Linked DNA regions of Drosophila melanogaster. The protein of the gene in region 2 interacts with the protein of the main gene of each other region in a pairwise test. Each region holds a gene or a part of one and is shown on either strand. Other genes may lie near its edges.

Region 1 (8,804 bases), on a different chromosome or scaffold from region 2:
GGCCATGTCATGTTGATTCTTGGCAGGAAATCGCTGGCGATCTAGGATGAACTCAACGATGCGGGAACGGACGGCGGTGGTAAAGAAACAATCCTGTCGGATGTCAAAGCTACCGGCCGATAAGAAAATTAATAAGTAAATAGGCACGATAATTTTTATATAGAAATTATTTTGAACTCACAGATACTCCTTATCGCGACTGTAAATGGCAGTGAATCGATGAGCTCGCTTTGGAAAAATTTCCTCGTCCACATAAATGTTGCGCAGAAAGAATTGGAAAACATGTTTAAGACTAGAAAACACGCTTTTGGTCGATCGATTGACCACGGACATTCCTGGAATCTAAAGGCATTGAAAGTTCAAGTGTAAATGGTATTTAGAAACTAATTTTAATAATTTTGTGTTAACATTCAAGCTGGCTTGTTCTAAGTTACATTTTCTTTATACAAAATCTATCAAGGTTAGGCTGGGTATTTTAGTTCGATTTCAAACAACTCACAGCGGAAGCTAAACGAAATATGATAATCTAAGATTATTTTTAGGGGATTAATAATAAAATATTTAACTGGTTTAACTTCAACGCTTTGGCCAACCTTATTGGTCAAGTAATGGGCCGCATTTCGTAGGCGATTCGATCTTTCAGATATGCGTAAATTGCATAACGACTAAAACATACAAAATATAAAATGATTTAAATTAAAATTAAATCATAAATGAATAAATTACATTTTCGGGAACTTTTAATTTTTGAATAAGGCCTAAAAGAATGCTATAATTTTGGCTTTAGCTTAGCATTTAAAAGTATGTTTACTTACCTCCTTCATGGGCATGCGCAGCTTAAGAATTTCCGCATACCGTCGCAGGACCTCCAAAGGAGCGTGGATCTAAAATCAATATATATGAAAACACTATACAAGTTGATTAAGCACTGCAAACTTACCTTAACGAACCAGATCTGGTCCTTCTGACTGGACTCGACCTCCAGCCCCTGACTAATGAGATTCGCCTCGAAAACACGACGCTTTTCCGTGTTCTCCAGCTCCGTGGGCTCGTGCGCATTGATCCTGTAGGCCAGGACAAAGTCAATGGACCGGACGCAGTCCTCAAAGAACAGTGATGTGTTAATCTCGCCCCGCTGGTAGAACTCCCTGGGGCAGCTGCACTCGCGATCATCGTAGACGCCGCCTACATTGCCCTTCACAAAATCCGGATCAGTCATTGGCAGAAGGGGAGCGGCTGGATTCGATGGGTTGGTCCTGTTCCCAGTGGGTCTTTTGCCATTGGCCCTGGGCTCGGCAGATTCTGGCAGTTGGAGCGTGGGGGCGTTGCTATACGATAGACAGTGGCAGATAAGGTTAATTATCGTATTTAGCTAGGTAGATAAACTTTCGGCTGAAACACATCGCAGACATACTTAAGCGATATTTAGGTATAGTAAAGATACTTTTTAGTATAATGTAAAGTAAATAAACCTATTCTATGAACCTTCTTAACATGTGTCAAGTTGTAATGGTATCAAATTATTGTTTTCACAAGGTACCCCCATTCCTTAAACTAGAAATATGAAATAATCGCAAGTCACGACTAACTCGAAATGCTTTCAGGCGGAAAACTTAATGTGATACAATTTGAAGCGAGTAAACGGGAGCAAAACACGTTTAATTCCCGACTGGCGACGCCTGTCGTGCGGAAAGGTCCTAATGGGACGCACATCCCATTAAAACACCAATAACATATATAGGTCACCTCCTGGGAGAGCCAAAGCCACGGGAATTTAACGATAAATAATACCTCTTTGCGACGGGAAGGAAACGCACAAGATGACCTCAGTTAACGTTTGCTCCGTTAATCCAAGTAATTAAGTGTAGGAACGAAGAAATCTCAGCATATGCTCGGTTTATCTTTAGTTCAATTTAGCCTTAAGTTGAAAATCATCTAGAAACTTTAACAAACACTTCTCTCATTACATACAAACATTTGGTATTTGTTTGCTAAAAAGCAGCTTCATGTGATGTGATCTAGATGAGAAATATCTAATGATTCACAGCCTTTAATCGATGTAGAATACTTAAAGCTTCAAAGTGCAATAGGGCCGAGCAATCTCCTCTGTCGGGTTTCATTAAAAGTGCACAGAGCAAATGAGTAAAAGTAATGAAAGAATAATTTATTCAACTGATAAGCAATCAAGCATACAGTCTGGATTTGAACTTATGAAGTTAATTTTGTTATCAGCAGCATTACAATCGTATTTTCCTCTTTAAATATGCTTGCCAATTCTATGGATAATGCTAAAATATTGTAAGCAAGCTATCTATGTTAGTATATAGTAATATTGAAACTCAACTTATAGATAGGGGAAACGTTAACTTAACCCCCCCCCCCCCTTATGATTAACTTCTAATCATAAATCTTGTTATTCCCCTCTTTTGTTGCTACGTTTTTTTTTGTATTATTGTTCGTTTGGTTCATTAAGCATTTTTACACTTCTTTGGCCTTCGCACAACTCGAAATTATCTTCAGCTTCTTTCATCAAAAACATAATTAAAATTTACATATAATGGCTGTTTGCTTTGTAGGCCCACACGTTTTAAATTTTCGGCATTTGGTTTAATCAAGGCCAAGAGAGTGAGAGAGACATTAATTTATGAAACATGTGTTGCGTTTGTTTTCTGATATATTTTTGCATTGGCTGCTAAAATCACTTATATAATTTAGATGTTCCTGCTAAAATGCCACCGATCAAATAGGCATTATATGTATATGTACATCGAAGGCTTATTCATCCCACAAGATCGCAATACTTGAGGTGCTCAAAAAACGATGCGAGATACGCGACACACATAAAGAAAATATTGTCTTTTGCTTTTTCGAAACGATGATTAATGCTACAATACACACGGAATAATGGCAGAAAAACCCGTTTCCTTGAAAGGTGATCGGCTCGTTTCGGTTTACAAAGTTTACAGAACCTAATCGCAATTATCGCGGAAAAACTTATGATGGAAATTTTCACCTCTTGTCCGAGCAGATAATTAATAAACACTGAATTAAAGTCTACAAATGTTAGCCATGGCAACCGACGAATTTGTTTGGAGCGAACTGAGAGACGACAACCAACGCGCAGCAGCGAAGACAACAAACTGAGAAATGAGAGGCAAACCAGCTGGGTTTTTTTGCCGGTGGCCCCCGTCCCCCCGCAGCTACCAACAGCACCGTTATATACATCCCCCCAGTCAGCTGTTTTACTCTCGAGAGAGTTTTGAGCACATGTTTTTCCAATTGATCATTCGGATGTCAAGTGCATTACACCTACACACACATATGCGAGTTTAAGCGTAAATAAAAGATAATCGGTATCTTTTTGTCTAATTAAACGAGAGCAGAGCGTTTATTTCCAATTTCCCGCTGGGAAAGTCTCTTTTCGCTGTGTATGATAAGAAATTGGAACGATGCCAAGTACAGACTGAGAAATCATATTAGCTCGATTGCAACAATAATAGTTGCAATTGAATATTAAATGGTCTGTTGGGACTCACCTCCTAACAATCGTGAGTCACTAAACAACTGAAATGATTGCTCAGCAGATTTAAGACAGATGTGAACAATCAAACCAAATATTTGGAGTATATGTACAAAGAATCGCACTTCATGTGTTGTTTAGGCAAATGTACTTTTTCAGCTATTGCTCTACCTTAATGAAAGATAAGATATACAGGGTGCTTAAACATTGGGTACTTTTTTTCTGTTTCTATGATTTTAAGCTTATGATCTTAAAATGTCTATGAATTAATTATTTAAATATATAGCTGGATTTATTGGTAACTATCAGTTAAATTGCTAGACACCCTGTATTCCGCACAAGTAAAAACTCAATTACAGAAAACTGACAACAAAAGCAGTCGGCTGCAATTAACTTTAATGGTTACTTCCTCGGCCCAAAATGGTCTGAATTTGGAATAAAGTGAATAAAGAATAAAAGTGGGCTTACTAACCTTTCTGCAAACCGGGCTCTCTTGTCGGCGGCACCGAGTGATTCACGCGATGCTGATAATTGCTCCTGGTCCAGAAATCTCTGCGAAGTGTCGCGCCCGCGCCAGAAGCTCTCCTTTCCCGTTAAGCGCTCGTGGAGATTGTGGCGCTTCATCAGCTCCATGTCGAAGGGAGCTAGGGGGGTGGTGAAGGGGGGCTCCAGCGGGACAGTGGTGGTGGGTGATATGGCGGGATTGTGGGGGCTCCGCTCCAACAGCTGGAAGCTCTCGTCCTTGGAGAAGGGGGGTGGTGAGGTGGCCTCCTCCAGAGCGCCAACTTTGGCACTGCCTAAATTTAGCATCTTGTTTCTGAGAAATTCCTAAATTTAGTCAGTTTCGCTAAATCGCATTCTCTCTTCTTTTTCGCTCTTCCTCTTCTGCGGTGCTTTCACAAGGCATCTGCATCTGTGTGCGTTGGTGGCCAGAAATTTAGCAATCAACTTTCATCTTTGCCGTTCATTAAACTAGTACTACTAATATCACACCCTCCTATTGCACTTTACACTCATTTATTATTTTATAATTATGAATGAATTAATTTTCGCTGATTTAGCGAGCGACAACAGAGCGAAAAACCGTTTCTACCAATGTTCTGTAACAAACTAACAAAGTGCTCAGATGGTGGGCAAGTGCCAGTCGGTTCTCGATAATATATCGATAACTGAGCGCGCAGCTTAAAAGTGGTAAGCTTGATAACAACTCAAAGTTGGACAGATTCAATGAGTTCGTAATTATCTGCGGAACTGGAATATAATGTTATCAAATTATATTTTTGTCGTATTGTGTTGGTTAGAGTACAACGGTAATCAATTTCCAAGCATATGTCAATCGTACTACTTAGGGAAACCATTTGGTTGTTAGACGATTGCCTGAGACAACAATCCATTAAAAGAGAAAACATAAAATTGCTTTACATTGTACATTTTATTTTATGCCGAGTCTATACACTATATAATTAAGCGGATTAATCTTAAAATTGAATTTTTTAAGCACCCAGAGGCGTGACTATCGCCATCGCCAGTGTTGAGCACCGATGAAATGAACTCGCCGCAAAAATCTTATCACGCAGCAGCTGACTGCAGTGCAGATATGAAAAATGCGAGCAGGAAGAAAGTGAGGAAAACAATTGAAACACATGACTTTTCGGATAAAACAACAACGTGTATTGGGCAGAACACAAAACAATGATAATACAATCCCGCGCGAGTGGGAGGCAAACTAATATGCTCGCTTTTTTCTACATGGAACAACAACGAATTTTCACTTTAATGTATGGAATAATAATACAGCAGTGTTTCCAGTTAGATTAACCACTATTATTACGGGTCTAAATTATGGATTAGAGTTGAACGTGGACATTGAATTTACAGCGCACAGTTTGGGGGGCCACCTCTTTACTTGTGGTTGTAGTTTTTGTGCACCTCGGGCGAGATGTTGTACACGTACTGCAGGATCTCCAGGATGAACGGGTCCTTGCGGGTCTGGATGGCCCGGTCCATGTCGGCCAGCTTAACGCGGATATCCGCATCGATCTTGGCCGCCACGCCCTCGCGACTGCCCATGTGCTGTAATCGGGGTTCACACGGTATTACATGTACATAAGTTTCCCTATGTGGCGTCTTACCTTGGCCTCGAACTCCTTGAAGGCGCGCTCGCGCTCCTGGCGGAACTTCTCGATCTCCTCGGTAGCCTCGTCCTTGGCTTGCTTCAACCTCCTTGCCTTGCCTGCGGGATTACCCAGAAATCCAGATGATCATATCAGTTCAACTTGGCAAATCAGCCCTCCGCAAGATGACCTTCCATAACTTAAAGTGCCAACTCGCACAAAAACTATTTACTGCACTTAAGTTGCAGTCTTAGTGGCCACAAACAATTTTAATTTAATTTAATTTAATTTAATTTAGTTTAATTTGATTTATATCTCGAGTTATGGAGGATTGACTTGTATTTACTTTTTTCCACCACATCATGTGACCCACACACAACGGTGATGGTGGTTATGGTAGCACGGGGGCGGGGTGGTGAAAAAATCGCAGTTACTTGTCGCCCTGCCATTTCCAATTGGATTTTTGTTTCTGAAAATGAAACTTACGTTTACGAGCCTCGGCGACCTTCTCGGCTGCCTTTTTCTCGGCAGCGAGCAACTGCTGGATTCCCTGCGTCTGGCTGGCCATAATTTCCAAACTTCTCTAATTCCTCGCCGTGGTGTATACTGTGCAAGTCGAAAAAAGCAAGTGCGACAGAATCACAATCGACGACGAACTGTGAAAAATGTCATATGACGAAGTCACACACACGCAAACTCACCACGGTGGCTAGTTGGTGTGGGTAAGCAGTGTGCCGGAAAGCTGGGTGCTGCGAAACTCTTGGAGATGGCTCGGTCGATTGCATATCGATTAGCTTAGTTGTATATTATTGTTTGGTATTGTATTGGCCAGAAGTATTAAATAATTTGACGTTTTTGTAAGCATTAACTTTCTCATTTATTCCCATCATGAATATTTTTCTTTTATAATTTTGTAAACTTTAATTCATTTTAATTTAAATGCAGCGTTTAATCTGCTTCGCACTGTAATAGTTCCGGCTGTATTTAAAGCTATTGTAAGAAATTAGTTCGTAAAAAATTCTTTATATTATTTTAAAATTGAAATACATAAAGATTAAATTTTGAAATAATTTATTCATATTAATATCTGAAGGCTATCGTTTGATATTAAATAACAACCATGTTGTAGTGGACCGAACTCACCACACCTCAGACCAAAATTAAATATTTGAAAATCACAAATCGTAACTATATGAAGCTGCAAATACTTTATATATCTTTAGCCATAGTGTATTTATTTCAATCAATTTGAATACTTTGTTGATATTTTTCCGAATAAATCTCTGCTGACTAGCTATCGATATCACCGATAGTGTCATCTCTGTCCTAGAAGTTAAACCACAGATGCTCAGGCATTAAACAAAATTAATTTCGAAATTTGTTGCAGTAAATATAGTTTAATTGTTTAAAATTCCTGTATAAATCCTTAAGAGGGGTGCCTAAAGATGTTTACGCCCACCACGAACAACGCCATTGGAGGCGCCACTGCTGCTACCGGCGCTTTTGCTTTTGGCGCGCGACCGGCGACGACGACTGCTCCGCCTCCATCCTTTGGAGCAGCCACCTCTACGCCAACCTTCGGTGCTGCTCCGGCCACCACCTCCTTGTTTGCAGCTCCCGCGGCCACACCGGCCTTTGGGGCACCAGCTGCTACGCCGGCTTTTGGAGCACCTGCGTCCACGCCTGGTTTTGGCGCCACTTCCACTGCGGCGCCGGCTTTTGGAACGGCTGCTGCCACGCCCGCTTTTGGCATACCAGCAGCAACGTCGGCTTTTGGAGCTCCAGCTGCTACGCCCGCTTTTGGAGCTGCAGCTGCCACTCCCGCTTTCGGAGCACCCGCCGCCACGCCCGCTTTTGGAGCACCCGCCGCTACATCCGCCTTTGGAGCACCAGCAGCCACAACGGCGTTTGGAGCGCCAGCTTCCACGCAAGCATCGGCCTTCGGAGCACCTGCACCAGCCGTGGGCACTGTGGCTCCCACTTTCTCCTTTGCCACCCCGGCCACAAGTGCGCCGACCACCGCGCCGCCGGCCTTTGGATTCGGCACCACCGCCACAACGGCGGCAGCTGCGATGCCAGCATCCCTCAGCTCCGGAATTGGATCGTTTTCCTTCCCCAAGCCACAGGCCACCACGGCGGCCAGCTTGAACTTTAACACAACCACGACGACGGCGACGGCACAACCCTTCAACACGGGTCTGAAACTGGGAACCACCAATGCGACGACAACCCTAGGAGGAGGAGGAATCTTTAGCAAGCCAGCGGGTCAGGCAGCTGCCCCGGCAGCATCGACTTTCGTGGGTCTGGGGGGGATCGATGTGACCGCCACGCAACCAAAGCTGGGGGACAATAAGCAAGATGGCATCAAGGTGCTGACCATGAGTCTTTCACAGAGAAACAAAATAATCATTTTATTTTCGACCACTCCAGATTAAGGAAACCCAAGTGCCCGACGAGATAATAAAAACGGTGGATGGCCTAAAAGCGTATATCAAACAGCAGAAGACCATCTCCTCTGACATTGGACGGACATCCACCTCCAAATTCACGAATGTCAGCCACGAGATCACGAACTTGAAATGGGCGCTGCAGAATATGGCCACTTTAGTTGAGGGCAGCAATCAGCAGATCCGCCTGATGCGCCAAGAGACCGTCAAGGCGATTCAATCTCTGGAGATGGCCCAACGCACGCAGGACACCCCAGCCGGCCTGCAGTTCGAGAACAATGCTCCGTTCCAGTACTTTCAGTGCCTGGTGGCGAAGTACGAGCAGGATTTGATCGCCTTTCGCCAGCAGATCGCTCTGACCGAGCGCCACATGCACGCGATCTCGAATCCGCAGAGTATTTCGCCGGATGATCTAAAGCGTGGCTTTCGCCAACTTAATGAGAGTTTCATCTCGCTGGCGGGACGCCTCCACGAGGTGCATCAGCGGGTGGAGGAGCACAAGGAGCACTACCTAAACCTCAGACGCTACCGCCTGCGAGACACCACCAACGTTTTCGAGCGGATTGACAATCCTCCGCTGCCGACGGTGGAACCTCAACGGATTAGTAGCGGTCCAACGCCCTTCTCCAACATCTCGGCTCTGATGAACAAGTCCTATGCAGCGGCGGCCAGTTCCGCCAGCAATGCGACAGGCAATTGAGAATGGCACTCTTTACAAGTTTC
Region 2 (7,580 bases):
CATCGTCGTTCAGTTTGCAGGAGTGCATCGACGAGTTTAGGGCACGCCGCATTCGCCGTGTGTCCACTCAAAGTCGCGACTGCGAGACCAACAATAACCACATCAACATGTCCCGACAACTTCCCCGAGTCCGCAGAACCACGGATGCGGACCTAATCAACCAGAATCGCTGCAACAAGGAGCAGGAGCGCAAGGGGAAGCCGTGCCAGAACGGCTTCTGCTACTGCTTCACCAGCGACAGCGGAGACTGCGGCTCCACGGCACCGCCACGTGACCAGCACGTGCGACTACCAAGGCGCAGCAGGCGATCTGAGAGCGCCAAGGTAAGCCACTAACCAGCCCGCTACAGTTCCCTCATTAAACTCACATTTTACAGCCCGCCAAGCAGAACAATCTCGGTAGCCAGCGGCAGCAGGCGGAGAAACTTCGTCGAAGCGAGCCGGCCAGCATAAATTCTGGCTTGAAAACTCCCTTAACTGCTGTCAGTCGCTTGAGAGCCGTGGCCGGCGAGGATGAACCGCTTATACACATCATCCAGGAGCTGCACGACAACTGTGTGGTGTCCGAAGTGCGCGTGAACCGCCACAAACTGTCAGATTCTAGCTCCAGGTGCCGGCACAGGAGCACACAGAGAGAGCCTACTAAAATGCTTTCCTATGAGCCCATAGCCTATAAGCCCTCAGCTCCTGTTTTGTCTAACATCAGCGAACAGGAATCCGCTGTGGAGGAAGATCAGGAGAAAGAAGAGCTGGCCACCGAGCCGCCAAGTCGCAGGAGTTCCCGCTCTCGACGCAGTTCCGGAGCAGGTGGACGCCTGCTGCAGAAGCGCCTCTCGCAGGGTCAAGTCAGCTTCAAGGCACGGAACTCGCAGCTGCCGCCTCCGAAGCCGCCGCGTCGCAGCTCCCAAAGTCTGGACGGGAAGCTATCGCAATCCTCGCTCACCTCCACGAATCCTTCGGTGCGGGAGGCCGAGCGAGTGCTGGACGAGTTTCTGCGCAAACGTGGCGTTCAGGTGCCTACGAGCAAGCTGGAACCATCGCTCAAAAAAGACAGCAAGCGCAGATCGTTCCCCATGGGTAAGTTATACCCGTAAGCCCTAGAAAATGAAACCGTAACCAAATAGAAACTATTTTTACCAAAAATCAAATGTATTTACCAAATAAAGTGTTTTGTATCCAAACATTTGGCTTACGGTTTCATTAATTGGTTCCTTGGTTTTCGATGTTTTTACGAGCTTTGCGTCTTTCTTTAGCTGAGGTAGAGAAGCCCAGGCATCCCAGGAGCAACAAGCAACTGCCCACCTGCCCCTCGCTCAGTGACATTGAGCGCGTAGTGGAATCCAAGCGGGGCTCAAATTACGACCGGAATATTCGGCAGGAGAGTAGGCGGAAAGGAGCGCCCACCAAGGAGGTTATTCTTGGCTGGACAGAGCCCAAGATCACCGATATGCTCAACTACGAGGGCAAGACAGCCAGCGAGTTTAGGACACCGGCGGAACCGCAAGTAGCCATTGGATGGCAAATGCCTAAAGCACAGCCACAGCCCGTAGTGCCAAAGGTTTCCTTGGACACTGTTGACGGAAGTGTTTCCGAGAACCTGGCATCAAATATGGTGCACAAGGAGACGCCCATCAAGTATCCCAGTCGAGTTAACACGGCAGGAGGTCAGGCTAGCCAGAAGTTCATCTGGAGCGAGCAGTGGCGCAATCTATCTCCTTGGAAGGGTAACAAACCGAAGAACCTTGGAAAGAAGTCCAAGAACTTTCTGAACAACTCCAAAAAGAAGATCCTGCGCTTCGTCTCGCCGAAGAAGTCTAATCAGGAGGTGCACACGCAGCTGGATCAGCACAGATTCACTCCCCAGCAGTGCACCATTGGCGTACAGACATCTACCTCGCAGCTGGACCTGCAGTCACAGTCTCCGCCGGGAAGCTACCACTCCCCCATGCAGACCACGCCCTCGGGTACGACCACATCCACCCGCCAACAGCTGGACACAGAGCAGCCGTACTTCGATTTCGAACGCAAGGTGAAGGCACCGACGCCTCCGAAGAAGCTGCCCCGTGCAAACAGAGCCCGCAAGCTGGACTTTCAAGCAGCAGCAACATCACCCACCACCTATCGCTCGTATCACAAGGATCTCGACCAGGACGTCACCATCACTAAAATGGGCTATCTGCTCAGCAGCATCAGGGCCAAGCTGGAGGCTAGCGATGAGCACGCAGTTAGAACCTTTCAGGTGAGTCCCTTCCCTTAATCTTTTACTTTATAATAAGTGGGCATGTTCATTTCGTACCTTTATTGATGAGTCCAAGAAAGCATGAAGAGATTAAATACTAGACAACGGTGAATACTGCACCCAAGGCGTAGTGATCCGACCCCAGACGGTAATTGGGGATCTGTCCCGCCCCGATGCACCGGTTGATTGAGGGCAGTGAGTAGACGCTGAGAGGCAAGAGCTTGTGCCTGCTCCGCGATCCTAGCGAGCGCAGGATGTAGTCCACGATAACCCATTCGTTCTGGTATGTGGAGGCAGTACCTTCGCCCGAATCGATGATCTCGAAATGCAGGGGTTCTGGGCAAGCTGTGGAATCCACATCCCCATTCTTGCCAACGAGGAATTCAATAGGCGAGGAGTCGGGCAGACTGTTAAAGTCACCAGTCAGGACGATAGGTGTGTCGGTGGAGAACGACTGCAGCTCCTCCAAAATTCTTTCCACCTGGGCGCAACGGACATCGCTCCGTTTCGTGTTGAACAGCAAGTGCGTGGTGGCGACCACGAATTCCTTCTGCTGCTCCTGCTGCTTTTTGAATCGGAACCTGGCAAACAAGGCCACATTGTCGCGATTGAGTAGAGCCACCGCCTGGTCGTACAGCTCCACTGCTTGGTGGTCTAGCAACTCAAACTTTGAGGAGTCGTAGACAATAGCGCATCCGTCCGTTCGACAGCCGGTCTTCTTTTTGTACACATAAGCCAACTTCTTGCCGTTGCCCATACGCAGTCGTTGGACGAGCACTGGAAGGTGGTCGAACTGCATCTCCTGCAGGCACAGTATGTCCGGATCCAGTTTGAGCAGTTCCCTGAGAAGGTTCTGCTGGCGGCGTTGCCAGCTGAGGAACTCATGCGGGATTCCCACGTACAGGAAGAGGTGCTCCAGAAGCAGATCCTGGGCCAGGATGTTATATGAGACAACCTTGAAGGAGGAGCACTTGTGCGGGTCTCGACCCTCAGCCTGATTCCCCAATGACGTCCAGCGTCTATTCCGATCGTGGCTCGACTCCATCTCCTTCGCTTTTTGTTTGCGCTTTCCGCTGGCTCCTTTTGCCTGGCTGCTCACGCTGCGCCTGATAATCCTTGATGTCGCCTTGAGTGAAACGTTGTGCAGCAGAGACCTGTACATCTCACCAGGTGCGCCTCCCCATAAGCCCGAGCTCCTGGTCCCCTTGAAAGCCTCTTGTTTCTTTAGTGTTTTTGGATGGCGTCTGAATTTCCGAGTGGAGGAAAGAAATCTGCTGCTGTCAGCTGTTTTCACTTCTTGTTTTGCGCCTTCCTTCGCTGGGCTGCATTGCAGCTGATATCGATAACGGGGCGGTACTCGGTCTATCGAAATTTAAAAAAGTGTATCTCGAAGTAGCATTGCAAGATTCGTTCTTACTAACTTTCTGGTCAAATAGATTTAGTTAATCATTGGTTTATTGATCCAAGTAATAAGGCTCTTCTTTTATAAATATATCGTTAATATGGTTTGTATTTCAATAATAAGAGTATAATTTCAATCGATTGCAGGACTGCTCCCGCTTTGACCGCCATGAGCCTCAGATCAGCCATCTTCAAACCGAGAGCTACGACTGCACAGACGGACCCAGCAGTGGTGCAACCACATCGTTGGCCACCACACGGCAACAGCGCGATTTCGACAGCGAGCCCATTTACTCGGAGATTGAGGAAGACTGCCTGCGGATTAGAGGGAGTCCCCACCACGAGGTTAGGACCGCGGCACAGATTATAGACCACACGCCGACTCCTACGGAAAGCTCCACCGCGTATGTGAGTGGGTCTGTGCCTGCTCCGTCGACCTCGCGCGATGACATCAGTGCCATGTACGCCAGGGTGCAAAAGACGCCGAAGAACTCACCGCAAATGAAGCCAGTGGATAAGCCTCAGATTAGTTTCCAAGCTATTCAGCCACAGAAAAGTACTCATTCCTTTTCGCCGCCTATAACAACACATATTGTTCTTGATCAGGCGGTACAACCTAAAAGCTGCACCCAGTCGAATCCAGCGCAGCTAAGCACCCAGATGGTTTCACCACAATCAACTGCTCCTCAGCAGCCTGTAGCTTTGGGTCACTTTCTCCACGAATCCCTGAAGAACGGCAACTTCTTCCAGTTCATGCCTCTGCCCGAGGAGCCGAGTGGAACGGAATCCTCGTGCTCAGCTAGTCAGACCACTGAGTCCTCTGTGATTCGCCAGCCGAAGTTAAAGTTGCCTTCGCCACATGCCCACCAATCCTTGAACAATATCAGTGAGCAGCATTCGCCGCCCAAGCAGAACCGGAATCTTTCTCGTTCAGAACTCTCTCTGCAGCGCAGCGAGATCTTCTTGGACAATCTCTGCCGCAGTGAACTGGTGTTGGATCGCCCAGAAAAGGTGCCCAATGTAAGTGCCATTGCAGTTTTTACAATTTGTCACATTTCTAAGCCAAAGCCCATTACAGAATACTTCCAATATGGATTCCGTTTCGTATGACATGCCCGAGCAGCTCTACGCAGATTACAGTTTGGTTGGAGCGGGCAGCGCCGGCAGCTCCTTCGTGACCAACGATTACGGCTCCGGGCAAATTGAACCTGAGCCGGCCAACCAGAGTACGCCGAAAAAGAAGCAGAGCCAGCGCTTTACAACCAAGGTAGAGATTTTTGTTGACTCCCACTAAAGCTTAAGGCTTCCGCTTGCATCTGATTTCTGACACTGTACATTCTGTAAATAGCCACTACCACACTGTACTCATCCATCGCTTTCTGAAACGCACTTCAAATATAAGATTGTTGTTGAAACTGAGTAATGATTGATCTTTCAGCCCGCTTCCAATTTGACCATAGAAATTAATGATGGCCAAGCCACGTCGCTGCGCCATTTTGGTAACAATCTGAGCATCAGTTGCCCCACAACGCCACAGCAGGCGCAGGCCTCGCAGGCAGTGGATCCCACTGTCCTGCACAACAGCAGCAGTTTGGGTGAGCTGATGCAGACGATGCCCAATCCCAGTGACAGCCAGCTGATGTCAGTCAGCGCTCTCGCTCGCTACCGCCTACTGAAGAATGCCCTTCGTCGTTCGTACCGCAAGGGAAAAGACTTCTTTCTGGCGGAGAAGCAACGCCTGGCTCAGAGCCTCAATCTCTCAAGGGACCAATCGAATCAGACGGATGGGGAGCTGGATAGCAGCACCTACTATGCCAACTTCAACGTGGATTCCTTGCTAAACGATTCCTTGAACCCAAACGAGCAGCTGGCCCAAGCTGTGAGCATATGTCGGCAGATGCCGACATTGGAGATCTCTGCAGAGATGGTGGAGGCGGAGCGACTGTTGCTCTTCTCTACCTTGCGAAAATCGACTCCACCCGTTTGCCAATTGAATGATGAAGCATTGGCTGCACGGAGGAAATCCCAGTGCCTGCTGATCGACGCCATGGAACTGCCAGTGAGGGCGGACGTCAGCCGGGATATGTTCTTCAACTACCACTATATCTGCACCTTTGAGTGCGGAGGACGCATTAGATCCACTCAATCCGTTGAGTGCCAGAATGGCTCCGCCTTCTTTCGAGACTGTGGCTTGGAGTTCTACAGTGGAGAAAATGCGGACTCCTTGGAGCTGCGCTGTCAAATCTTCATGCTCCGCCTGCGCAAAGTTTCCACTCTGGCCTTGGAGCCTGCCAAGTCTCTGGTAAGTAGCTTCAGTTGTCCTCAGAGGCAGTTCGCTAATGAGTTACCTTACAGCGTCGTGGCAGCGGAAACTTAGGTTCCGCCAACTCGAGCTGTTCTGCGGGCTCTGGTGGTGAGCAAATCATGTCGCGCTTTCGCTTACATGCCTCTTTCCATCTGCGAGCTGTGGACCTGTCGCCATTTCAACTGGTGTCCAATGAGTCGAGATCCAGCGACAAAATCTGCCTGCGCAGTTCACGCTCCTGGCAAGTTCCCCTGACCACGCACACCAAATCCACGAATCTGGGACCTGCCATATCTATTACTGGCAGAGTGGACTTACGGCTGCCCAAGACCCGCTTCTCTGGCTACCTAAATGTTCAGGATCCGAAGAGCCAACACAACTGGAATCGCAGATGGTGCAGTCTGGATGGCGTTCGGTTATCGGTTTGGCAACATGAGGATAATCTGGAAAGTGATATCCCGATTTTCACGCTGGAGTTGCCTGGACTCGGACAATCCCTGATAGCTGCAGCCCCCCGGGAGTTGTGTGCTCGGGCGAGAAGTTTTCTGCTGCAAGGAAGGAATTCTGATTGCGAATCGGGGAGAGTCTTCTTTGCTGCCGATACGCAAGCGGAGCTCTCGGAATGGCTAATCCACCTAAATGAGGCTATCGCATTCGCCAGGCACTGGCTGGGCTCCTCTTGACAGCTCGTGCATTGCCAAACAATTTTTATTTTTATATGTGTTAAAGTTTTCTATTTATATTTGGTTATATTTAAATTGTGCTTAGATCTTTCCACTAATTGTATATTGTTTGCCATGCAAACGTGTCGCTCCTTTCAATTTAAGTCTGAAATTAGCAAGAAAGGTATAGATTTACCACTTCCGTTTCATAGCCCTATGTATCATATGTATGAGAGTCAACATTCCCTTCCCTTAGCGGGATATAGTCATTCAAACTGAACCATGTGAAGCATCTGAGTCCCCAGAGTCCTGCTCACTTTTGGCGTTCACGTCACAACAACAACAGTTTATTACGTACATAATTTACATGGGCTACGATAAGTTGATAAGATACAGATACGATTATATATTTGATATAGGTTACAATATGATACACAAGTATGTTATATGCGCTGGTTGCCCCCGGTTATCTGCGAAATCGGTTATCCATGCTCGCGTCCCCACATCCTCACATTCGTGCCTAGTTAGTGCCTACGCGTAACTATTACATTTAAGTATATGTACTATTTAAGCTGCTTTGTAATTTCGTTTTCATTTCGTTTTTGTTTGCTCATTAAAGTGCAAAACATAAGAGTCTGAGGTTATGTTTGTTGTGGTATTGTTTCCAAGCAATTTACATACTTAACTTGTACATTACTTAAGCACTGACTATTCTCTATTGATCTGACAACTGGTCACGTTAAACTGTACTTGGTGTGTGGGCTCTGCTTAGGCTTAGGATCGCTATAATCTGTATTTGATTCGGCTCTGATTGTGGTTCTCTTTCTGTTTCTGCTGATAACTAGTTGGGATGAGTCTATGGGTCTAAGGATATGCAGGAGCGCAGTGCAAGTCGTGTCCTTCTGGATTCGGGATTCGGGTTTGGCTTAGGCTTAGGCTCAGGCCAGCACATACTTCCACACTCGGTTCGTCTG

Evidence for each region.
Region 1: the proteins of angel (region 2) and subdued interact in a two-hybrid assay, tested with the Drosophila melanogaster proteins (one large-scale study listed by BioGRID).

The regions. Positions count from the first base shown.
Region 1 is NT_033777.3:19,638,086-19,646,889, forward strand, and holds the start of subdued (subdued), read right to left. Parts: upstream 4,638-8,804; 5' UTR 4,331-4,637; coding exon 3,993-4,330; intron 3,144-3,992; exon of another isoform or gene 3,014-3,143; intron 3,002-3,013; exon of another isoform or gene 2,899-3,001; intron 1,329-2,898; coding exon 941-1,328; intron 885-940; coding exon 816-884; intron 666-815; coding exon 594-665; intron 343-593; coding exon 182-342; intron 110-181; coding exon 1-109. Other genes in the region: Vha13 (vacuolar H[+] ATPase 13kD subunit), read right to left, coding at 5,423-5,593, 5,653-5,753, 6,121-6,202; Nup58 (nucleoporin 58kD), read left to right, coding at 7,080-8,003, 8,065-8,781.
Region 2 is NT_033778.4:23,689,938-23,697,517, reverse strand, and holds angel (angel), read right to left. Parts: upstream 3,516-7,580; 5' UTR 3,401-3,515; coding exon 2,336-3,400; 3' UTR 2,286-2,335; downstream 1-2,285. Other genes in the region: CG30183 (uncharacterized protein), read left to right, coding at 1-323, 377-1,076, 1,253-2,238, 3,787-4,659, 4,718-4,906, 5,078-5,941, 5,995-6,627; Pal2 (Peptidyl-alpha-hydroxyglycine-alpha-amidating lyase 2), read right to left, coding at 7,545-7,580.